3 linked regions of the Drosophila melanogaster genome follow. The protein of the gene in region 1 interacts with the protein of each later gene in a pairwise test. Each region holds a gene or a part of one and is shown in the gene's direction. Other genes may lie near its edges. The genes, in order: CG11581, Nmda1 and CG13047.

Region 1 (3,757 bases):
GCTCCCTCGGTGAGCTACTCCGCACCAGCCGTGCAGCAGACCTACGCCGCTCCAGCCATCCAGCAGTCGTATGTCGCCCCCAGCAACGAGTACCTGCCTCCTGTGCAGACCTACTCCGCACCGGCCGTCCAGAGGACCTACTCCGCACCAGCTGTCCAGAGGACCTACTCCGCCCCCTCTGTTAGCTACTCGGCACCCTCTGTGAGCTACTCGGCTCCATCGGTCAGCTACTCCGCTCCTGCTGTCCAGCAGTCGTACTCCGCTCCATCGGTCAGCTACTCCGCCCCTGCTGTCCAGCAGTCGTACTCCGCTCCATCGGTCAGCTACTCCGCCCCTGCTGTCCAGCAGTCGTACTCCGCTCCTGCCGTCAGCTACTCCGCCCCATCGGTGAGCTACTCTGCACCCTCCGTGGATGTGGGCACCCAGTACGCCTCCAACGGTGGCTACGTCTACAGGAAGTAGGGATCTTCAACGAAGAGGCCTGCAACTGAACACGAAACAGTGTCCATAACTACATACTGCCCAAATTAACCATATATTTTTTTTTTTTGTTTTGTAAACTTTTGTTTACAACGAAATAAACCGAAACATCAATAATCCAAATAAATACTTTTGTTTTTAAAATGGGTTTCAGAGTTATAAAAACAAGCGTCTAATATTAATATTAATAAAATTTTTAACAAGTGTATCCCTATTCACTTTATATCAAAATTCCGGACCAGGATACCAAAATAGCGTACTAAAAACCACGCGCGACTTGAGTGCGGTTTGGTTGCGGTTTAGGTGCGGTTTTGTTGCGGTTTTGATGCGGTTTGAGTGCGGTTCGTTTTCAAAATCGAACGTCAAAAGCAAGTGCTTGTTGGTGCTTAATACTTCAGAGTAGACAAAAGGTGGCACTTTATAAGCCAATAAAAATATAATAAAGTATACGAATGATATGTCCATACAAAGTAAAGAAGATTTATTGGCATTAGTCTATAATGGTAATTTTCAAAATTAAAAAGCTTAATTCTTCGACTAGTTAACACTAAAACCTGTAGGACAAGAACATAAACATTTAACATACATCAATGTTTTAACTAAGTATTAGCGTTAAAAAATATAATATAAAGCTTTAATTAAGTTGGGCTTTTTATAAACAGCTTGCAGCTTTGATTAAACTTGGAAGCTGCGACTATTTTAAGCATTTTCAAAGAGCTTTTAGTTTAAATATAGCATGAAACTTTATGGTTTTCCTAGTTTTAACACTAAGCTTTTGAGTATTTCAAAACTATGACTTGCAGATACATTTTCTGAGAGTGCTTGGCATTTCTGAAAAATTATTTACTCAAGACTTTTTGAAATCATTCAAAACCATTATTTAGTATATTACAGTAAATAAAACGAACCTCCTCGACGTTTTTCCTGTTTTTAATTAACACCCTTTTGCTTTCAGGTAGTAATTTTTAAAATTTAATATTCATCATAAAGCTGAGCAAGAACTTGAATCTAAATCAAATAAAATGTTACCCTTTCATTGTTCTTTCTTTTCGTTTATTGAATCTTTTTCATTATCGCCTCTTTTCTTTGTGCGATGCTGAATTTAACATTCGATTTCGGCGTTAGTTTATTTATGTAAAATCCGGCCGCTAAATTAAATTTTATAGTTCAGTTTTGGCACCTCCCCTCGCACCTTCGATCACCTTTGGATTGGCGATTATTTATGGAACCTTTGTGATGATGCAAAGCAATTTCCGTTCGCCGAATGCGAAAGTGAAATGAGCCGGCCGCGAATTTATGTAATATGTTGATATGCCGTCTTATATATGGCGGATTTGGGGCCCGTGGCCGCATAGCCACCGTCGCCGTGCAAGTTCCCAGAGATCAAACCGGAGCTCGAGATGATGCAGCCATGGGCCGTTGTGGTCCTACTTCTGCCCCTGATCAACGGAGATGTGAGTCACCTGCCCAGGGAATATATACCGCCCAGTGCGGAACTGGAGCCAACCACACGGTCTGCTGCTGATGGCCAGGAGGTGCAGAAGGATCCATCTGGATTCTATCCATCGACTGGACTGCCACTGCCGCCGGGCTATGCCATTCCCACGGGCAGCAACGTTTTGCCACAGCCTGTCCAGCCGCCAAACTTCCCTCTGCCCATCTATCCACCATTCTACGGCTTCGGCGGAGGTCCTGTCGAGCAGGGAGGAGGACATGGTATTGGGCCAGTGCCTTCGGCCTATCCCAACGGAGGTGCATTCCCGGCGGGTCCTACCAATGGAGGCGCATTCGCAGGGGGTCCTACGAATGCGGCCTTCCAACTGCCACCAGGTGGTCCTTTCGGTCCGCAAGCTGGTAATTTTGCCCAGCCAGGTGGTTTCCCGCAGGCAGGTGGGTTTCCCCCACAAGGAGCTGGCTTCCAGCCACAAGGCATCCCTGGCAATGGATTCCCAACGCAAGGAGCTCCCTTCTCACCACAGCAGGGAGTGTTCCCATCACAAGGAGGTGCCTTCGGGCCACAGGGAATACCGGGCAATGGTTTCCTAGGAGGTAACTTCCCGCCACAGGGAGGGCCCTTCCCAGGATCCGCATATCCACCGGAGTTCTTGACAAACCAGGGACTTCCCCTCACAAATCCCCAGGGTCCCTTCCAAGGACCCAGTCCAGCAGGATTCAATGTGCCCGCAGGATTCGGCGGACCTGTGCCCGGCCAGAATCCCTACCAACAATTTGGACCCGGTTTCGGAGGACCCGCTCCGCCGGGCTACTCCGATGAGCCGGCGAAGGAGCAACCAAAGGACAGTGAGAGGACAGTAGTGGCACCACCATCGGCCGACGATCCCAAGAGTGTGGCGGATACGGTTTACGCATCCAATGGCGGCTATGTCTACAAGAGGGCCAAGTAATGCGATGGCTTTCGAAGCCCCAAATTGGGGAGTTCATCAAACATGTTCGCCATAAATTATGATCCATATTTTGTTTTTTTTTTTTCTTGTATTTTTTGTGCCTTTGTTTTTATTCATTTATTTGATCTGCTGGCCATAAAGATGCGGACAGACAAAACGATTGTCTCTATGCTAATCGAAATCTTTGCCAAAACTGACTGATAACCATAAACGAGACAATCTATCGTCGTGATTGATACATATATATAGACAGACCTATGTTTTATGCATACCCTGGCCAGACACATATGTGTTCATAAACTATGTTGTCTTCAAAAGTCAATACAAGGCGATTAAAGGCTGAAATAAAAAACACGATTAGTGGTTTGGGTGTGGACTAAAACCGAAGTCCTACGATAATTATGCACATTCACCATCAAGGTTTATTGAACTCTGATATGTTTCTGGATGGAATTAAGTTTAAACAAAATGGTACAAGAATTAAAAAAAAAAACATCCACAACTTAAAAGCAGTAATAGTTTATCATGCAACAACAATGGATCATTAAAAATGGATTTATGTTTATCATTTCATATTCTAAAATAAATCCAACTTAAAAACGAATAAATTCAAATGATTGTCTTACATGTATAAATTTTGAATTGACGTCACAGAAAAGAGGTAGAGAAAGAAGCTGCCCACCTAAAGGGCAAACTTAATCGATTTAAGTTAATTTCAGCGAAATTCAAAGAACCTTCTGAGTTAATTTTAGCTTCGCGATATTTTTTTTTTTTTTTTTAATTTGCCAAACTAGTTTCTGACGTCAAAGAGTTTCCCCTAAAGAACATACATACATTTATGATAATGAACTTCTTTTCGTGAACTTAAGATG
Region 2 (3,757 bases), on another chromosome or scaffold:
CATACTCCGGCTTCCAGTCGGAAAATGGCCTGATTTGCCGGGGTCCTCAGGTCGAGCACTCGGTTGTCCAAGCGCGTGTCCTGGTTCACGCGAATATTCAGACCTTCCGCATCATCGGCGTTCTCGGGACGCGATGCATCCTCGATTTGCAATGGCAACTGTGCCTTGGCCTGGGATATTACGAATATCTGCTCGACGGACAATTCCAGCGACTGCTCTGTGCAGGATTCAATCTTGCTAGACACCGCCACTGGCTTGGCCTGGATATCAATAATGCTCTCCTTAGGGATACTGAAAAAATAAAGACGTTTTTGAATTATTAAATGAATTATTAAATTTGCAACAACAAAAATTCTAAGCAATGTTTATCATTTCATAAACCTTTAATTGATTTCACGATATCTTATCAAAGTATGATGAAAATATCTATATGGCCTGCGCAATTCAAATTCGATATTGTGCTTTTTTGGGTTACGGCTCTTAAGATAAACTTAAGATATACGAGGGAATATTTATAACTTACTTTCCCGCAAATTTGACCATCTGTTTGGAGATAACATCACCGACAGCCAGGATGCACTGCACCGTGCTGCTCTGCTGGCGCAGGATGAGGAAGCACTGCTTTCCCTTGGCTCTCGAAGTGTGGACGCGTCCTCGCACCCAGACCAGTCCTTTGCCCACCTGACCGCTTAGTTCCGAAACCGGGACAAAGTTGCGTTCACTGCGTTTGTCCTTGGATTGGATCATTTCCGAGAGGCCATATCTTCCGGCGGCGTGATCCTCCGCAGAATCGCCACCAGCGTTATTGGCCGCCGCGGTGGAGGCGTTCTCCGCTTTTTGTTCGGCTTTCTGTACACATAGAGATTAAAGCTGTTATCAGAGGTTCAAGAAAAACAAAACGCCACGTCCCCAAAACAAAGATTCTCACCTTAGCGGCCTTGGCCAGCTTTTTGGCTCCCTTCTTGGAGACCTGCTCCCCGTTGGCCACTTGCTCTTTGTCCTCGACCATCTTGGAATGCACAAAAACGGCTGTAAGGAAGGGAGGGTTGTATATTTTACAAGAGGGTCACAAAACCAGAACGTAGACCACACAGTTTCGATAAGCGAGCAACAGGCGAAAAAGGAGGAGTATTGTGTGCGTTGCGTCATGGTTTTATAAATAGCACTTGGCTGATGAAGTGCCCCATTTGCGAATAAGTGATATTGTCTTCCGGACTGCAGTTCAGTCACCCAGTCTCCTCCTCCAATAGCCATATGTCCACAAATATTTCCGGGGACAGAGAAACACTCTTTGTCTAGCGGCTCGCACATAACCTAAACTTTGCGGTCTTTTATCTGATCATTTACCGATTCTATTCACTTCCTGTCTCTTCCCCTATTGGTTATTTCAATGGTGCATTCGAGTGCACTCGACTTACCAGCTAGATCTTGCCCTTTTAATACACAAACGAATTGATTTCACGAGCGTCGTGTACTATTGCACATGCCACCAGCGCGGTGCAGTCTAGAGGATTTCTATCGCGGCTATCGATATATATCGATTGTTCCATGTGTGCTTCAGGGTGGCGCATTTCTGATTTTGTGACGTCACATGTCCAGCATCCTATGAATTAAGTTGCGCTTAGCTAGTGCTGAAAAATAATATTAGTAAATAAGGAGTATAGTATAGTATAAGAGTTAGTAAGTGCAGAATAATCTCAAAAATAATGAGCATAAGAAAATCTACAGAAGTGCCGTAGTTGAGAAGCTTAAAAAACAAAAGCATCTGTAGCATTTCTCAACATCTGGTGAAGCATTCTTAGTTTAATTACAATACTCTGTATGTTTTAAACATATATAAACGATAGTATATAATTTACAGAAAATGCGCCATAGTGTGGTACGTGTCAAATAAAATTTAAACGCAATAATGTTTAAGCCGAGTTTAATGTAGTCTGTAAATGTACCACTTTCTAAAAAAATTAGTTACACCACCATCGATAATTACAGCTGCGTTCCGATAGCAGTCAGCAGGCACATCTCTGTTAATTTATAGCAAAAAAAAAAAACAAATATTCAGAAAAACAACATTCAATTGTTTGTTTTGATCAAATAGCAACGTAATCCAGAGGTAATTAGTCATCCAAAGAGCATAATTTGAATAATGGGAAGATAGTAGGTCACGTCAAAGAAAATTATAATAGTGTGGTTTCCCGGTAATTTCGAGAAGCTGGCAATTTCCAAAAGTGAGTCACCACTTTTCCTACACCGAGCTGCTGTGTATGTATTATTTGCGCTGGTGGTGCTCCGGCTGAACTAATTTAATAGCTGCGACTACGTTAAAGCGCTTAAGCTCGCAGTTCAGCGTGTAGGTAAGGTTCATAAATGGCCCCAGCTATTTTCAGAGAACCCACACAAGAAAGCTTGAGAGGTACACGTCATGGGGGCCACAACAAACGAAACGGTGCCGAAGTTTCTCAGGCATTACTATAGTGGCAAATTGATTGATAATTAAAGTTGCATGCCACCAAAGGTGTGCACATTTCTTAGACACTAATTAAATTAGCTAATGATTGCTTATCATCGTGTCTTTGCAGGTAAAACAACAACGAAACAATGCAAGGTGAGTGGAATAAGGACAAGCCGTACTAACACATTCTTTTTGGATCTAAGTTTACTCCACAGCGGTTTCGGAATTACATAGAAATCAGAGCGAAGTCCCTCGAGAATGTCCTGGCAAAGTGTTCCCCAGTATCCCCAATACCAAGGTTCAATCTTCTTAACTTCTAAGCGAGTGTTACAGCTTACCCGTTTTCTGATCGCATGCTTTTGTTCGTCCCGGGGCTTGTCGACCCGTTGAATGCTCAGTAATTGCCCAGAGCTGATTCATTTCCATTACCTCTCTCTCTTTACACATCGTACTTGTCCCTTCTTATCATGGTTGTATGTACATATTTGCTCGAGATTGTTTCTTGGTTTACCGCATCTCTTCGTCACGGCGAAGCGTTTCATTTAGATTTTACAGTTCTTGGTAGACAGATTGCTGTAGCGAACGCGTTGGTAGCACCGTTTTAGATGACAAACTAAAACGAGATGTCTTATTTCGCAGATCCCAACCAGCAGTACAACTATGGCGGCGGTAATCCCCCGCAGGGAGGATATGGTGGATATCCACCTCAGGGCGGCTATCCACCTCAAGGACCGCCGCAAGGCTACCCACCCTATGCACAAGGAGGTGCTCAACCCTATCCACAGCCCTACGGACAGGGGCCTCCACCGGGAGGTTATGCTCCCCAGCCGGGATTTATCCAACCACCACCATCTGCTGGCGGCTACGGAGCCTACGATGATCCGGAGAGCCAGCCCAAGAACTTCTCGTTTGACGACCAAAGCATCCGTCGCGGATTCATACGTAAGGTGTACCTGATTCTAATGGTGAGCTTTAGATAATTCTGCATAGAAGGCATGTACAATAAGTTATCATTTCTGTGTCATTAGGGACAACTAATCGTCACTTTTGGAGCTGTTGCCCTGTTTGTATACCACGAGGGCACTAAAACCTTTGCCAGGAATAACATGTGGCTCTTTTGGGTTGCCCTCGGCGTAATGTTAGTAACCATGCTGTCTATGGCTTGCTGCGAAAGTGTGCGCCGCCAAACACCGACGAACTTCATATTCTTGGGTCTGTTTACAGCAGCTCAGTCGTTCTTAATGGGAGTTTCCGCAACCAAATATGCTCCGAAAGAGGTGAGTACTTCGATTTAATTACGATATGTAG
Region 3 (3,374 bases), on another chromosome or scaffold:
GGTTAATGGTTGCTATTTACATACACACAAATCGGGCCAAGAGATCTCCATCTCCATCCGCGCCTCATAATGAGACCTCAAACTTGGCATTGGCATTCGGAATTCTCTTGTGAAAACAAAAGAAATCGAGACAACGACTAACTTTTGACGTATATTTATGAAAGCCAATTAAAGTCAAGTGTCATTGATCAGATCTGGGAACGGAACTGGGAACTGGGATCTGGATCTATCTATATATCTAGACATATTTATGCCTGCCGTATAGAACCTGCTTCCCGCGAAAACAAAAACGGGAATTAGAAATATGGTCTGCATAAATTTGGGGCTTAAAAATCAATTAAAGCAAACGGTACTGACGACAGCCAAACAATTCCTAAGAGGGATAAAGCTTCTGATGAGCCTCTAAATCAGATTGCAAATAAATTTAAAAGGTTAACTAGGAAGTGAGCGGATCGCACAGCTGTGAAGTGGAGTGCTGAAGACAAGAAGTTGATGGCGATGGTCTATGAAGATGAAGATGAAGATGGTTAAAGATGTACTCATTTCCGTGCTTGAGTCACCGGAAAATTGGCGCGTCATCGGTTGAGAATTCCTGTCCAGAAATTGTGAACAAGTGAACGAGAAGAGGTCACCCTTGGAGTTGGAATGTACTAGCTGTGGTTGCTGCCAAGATTGGATCAATCCGATCAAAAGTGGCCACAATGCGGATACAGAATACAGAATATATGGAAAAGTATACAGTTACATGCGTGGGGCAACTTGATCACCAGATATCATTTATATACATATATATATATCGCCCTCTCGACTCGTCATCGCGACAACCTTGAGACCGGCGTCATCATCGTATCGGATTTCAGAAGCAGCTATAAAATAACGACCATTTAGATACTCTATACGATTTGTTAGTAAGCGGTATGAGTATAATATTTTGTGACTGTACTACAGAAAAACTTCGATTTTTCATAAACTCGCTCTTTGAAATCATGCTCCTAATGGGTTGTTCTACCAAGTCATTGACACTAAAATATGCTAATTTACAAACATTCATAAGTAGCAAAAGTACCCGATCATAAAGAGTAAAACAATGCAAATCGCAGACACCAAGCCATCAGATGACGACGATGCTGCTGACCAGGCCAGCACGTGACCGAGAGAGACCGAGAGAGATGGCTCATTAAGTCAGCTAGCAAGCAGGTTTCGACTGCTCGATCATTCGGCCCCGCGCCTTGTTGGCCAATTAAGCTGAAGCGAATTGATGAGACCCACTGGATGAGGATGAGGGTGCATCACATCCTGTGGCCAGGTGGCGTCAAGGTCAGGTCAACACGAAAACAAATGAAGACCCGTCGGCTAGGATGAGAGGGAAATTTACGACCGCCTTTTATTGGCGTCTCTGCAAGCCATTAAAAAGTGAACTAATGAGACACTTAGTGGGCCGGAATCGTGGCCTTTGAGGAAGGGGTACCATTTTTATGGCCAATTTGACTTAGATTGCGGCCAATTCAATGCGAAGCGGCGCACATTGATGGCCCAAACAGACTGCAAATTACGACAAGACAGCCCGGCCACCGAGTCAGTCTTCAATTGCATACAAATGTCGATCACTGCACTTGGAAAAATTTTTATAAAGACTATAACTTGGTATGCTATACAAAAAGTTTACCTCTGCATGTAAATACACTGCACTAAATAGTTAAGGTTAAAAATTTTAAATAAAATATTTATACATTGAAATCAGAATTATATCATATCTTTTCTTATAATATTTACCAAAGCTCAAATATTTTTCCAAGTGCAACCGAAATATTCAAGCGACAACTTGGACAACTTCCGACAGTCCATTGGGCAATTGAAGGCGGAGCACGTCTTGGCCAAATGGCGATCATGTATGCTACTTGGCACTCGACCAGGTGGGCCAGCTAATGAAGAAGCGACCAAAAATCGGCTCAGACAGAATGTCCCCCAAAGAGCACGGATATGGGCACGAGCTATATAAGCCACTGGTCTGGCTCCAAATGAACATTATCGCTCAAGTGCTTTAGACAAACCCAACCACAGCAATATGTACAAGTTTGTAAGTGATCCTATGGGGATTAGCGCCCAAACAATGTGGACTAAGAGGTGGTTAATGATTACCTATCCTATTTTCCAGTTGGTTCTCGCTGCCCTCATCGCCTGCTCTGCGGCCAAACCAGGAGTTGTAGCTCCACTGGCTGCTCCTCTGGCTGCTCCCCTGGCCTACGCTAATGCTCCTCTGTACGCCGCAGGTGGCAGCAGCCAGGTGGATGTCCGCAACAACTACGACGGCACCCTGTCCTCCTACACCACCGCTCCGTTCGAGTTCGCCGGCCCCTACTCCAGCCGCTATGTGTCCGGAATCCCAGCTGCCCCCGCCGTGGTGGCCAAGTACGCTGCTGCTCCTCTGGCCGCCGCCTACTCTGCTCCTCTGGCTGCTCCCGTCGCTGCTCCTCTGGCCGCTGCTCCCGTTGCTGCTCCTCTGGCCGCTGCTCCCTATGCCGCCGCTGCCTACTCCGCCTATCCCTATGCCTCGCCCTACGCTGCACCCTACCTGGCATCTCCCTACGCCGCTCCCTACGCTGCATCCTATGCTGCTCCCATCGCCGCTGCTGCTCCAGCTCCAGTGGTGGTCTAAGGACACACCTGTGAAGCAGGCCAAACTATAGGAAATTTTTGATAAACAAAAAAAAAAACTGATAATAAATTACGAACCAACAATTAGAGCGCACCATCTTATTATTTGCAGAAATGCCTTGAATAATTAACGAAAAACGAAAGTACTATTATTTATCGGATATTTTTGGTTCATGAAAATTCAATTGGACGCTCATTTCGATTGGGTCAATATATATATATTTCTTAAGAAAATATAAAATAACTTCTTTACTTAACTATGATCAATTTTTGATTAGATGATTCCTTTTGTGCAAGTGGTTTTATTAAGCATCCATATATTTCCAGATTTCAGATAGAGGAAGTTATTTAATTTTTTTTTAGAAACTTTAGAACTTTCCATTTAATGCTCTGAATTTCTCGTTTCTCACTCATTTCTTTGATATGCAAAATAAGCTTGTTTATTGGTGGATATCATTTAATACAAATTATGCATAAATTATAGGTCTGCATTTAATTTTTAATGGAATTTTTTCTAACAGCTGCATTGAATTTTAAAGATAATATTGACAAAGTAGCAACATACATAAGTTAGGGACTTAGGGAAGTTAAAGTCAGACAACTTGGTCACCATGTAAACAATATTTGTTGTGATTGCGTTGTCACCTAAGGCGCAATATCGATTGTTATTTATGGTCAAAGCAATATTTATGGATTATCATAATCATATTCCACTCATG

The links.
Region 2: the proteins of CG11581 (region 1) and Nmda1 interact in a two-hybrid assay, tested with the Drosophila melanogaster proteins (one large-scale study listed by BioGRID).
Region 3: the proteins of CG11581 (region 1) and CG13047 interact in a two-hybrid assay, tested with the Drosophila melanogaster proteins (one large-scale study listed by BioGRID).

What each region holds. Positions count from the first base shown.
Region 1 is NC_004354.4:14,175,067-14,178,823, forward strand, and holds CG11581 (uncharacterized protein), read left to right. Parts: upstream 1-1,856; 5' UTR 1,857-1,880; coding exon 1,881-2,885; 3' UTR 2,886-3,390; downstream 3,391-3,757. Other genes in the region: CG1368 (uncharacterized protein), read left to right, coding at 1-462.
Region 2 is NT_033778.4:12,878,042-12,881,798, reverse strand, and holds the start of Nmda1 (N-methyl-D-aspartate receptor-associated protein), read left to right. Parts: upstream 1-2,000; 5' UTR 2,001-2,110; intron 2,111-2,142; exon of another isoform or gene 2,143-2,351; intron 2,352-2,425; exon of another isoform or gene 2,426-2,595; coding exon of another isoform or gene 2,596-2,602; exon of another isoform or gene 2,603-2,652; 5' UTR 2,653-2,707; coding exon 2,708-2,747; exon of another isoform or gene 2,748-3,072; coding exon of another isoform or gene 3,073-3,088; coding exon 3,089-3,414; intron 3,415-3,477; coding exon 3,478-3,726; intron 3,727-3,757. Other genes in the region: AspRS (Aspartyl-tRNA synthetase), read right to left, coding at 1-291, 524-849, 929-1,009.
Region 3 is NT_037436.4:16,284,047-16,287,420, reverse strand, and holds CG13047 (uncharacterized protein), read left to right. Parts: upstream 1-2,024; 5' UTR 2,025-2,065; coding exon 2,066-2,077; intron 2,078-2,155; coding exon 2,156-2,656; 3' UTR 2,657-2,741; downstream 2,742-3,374.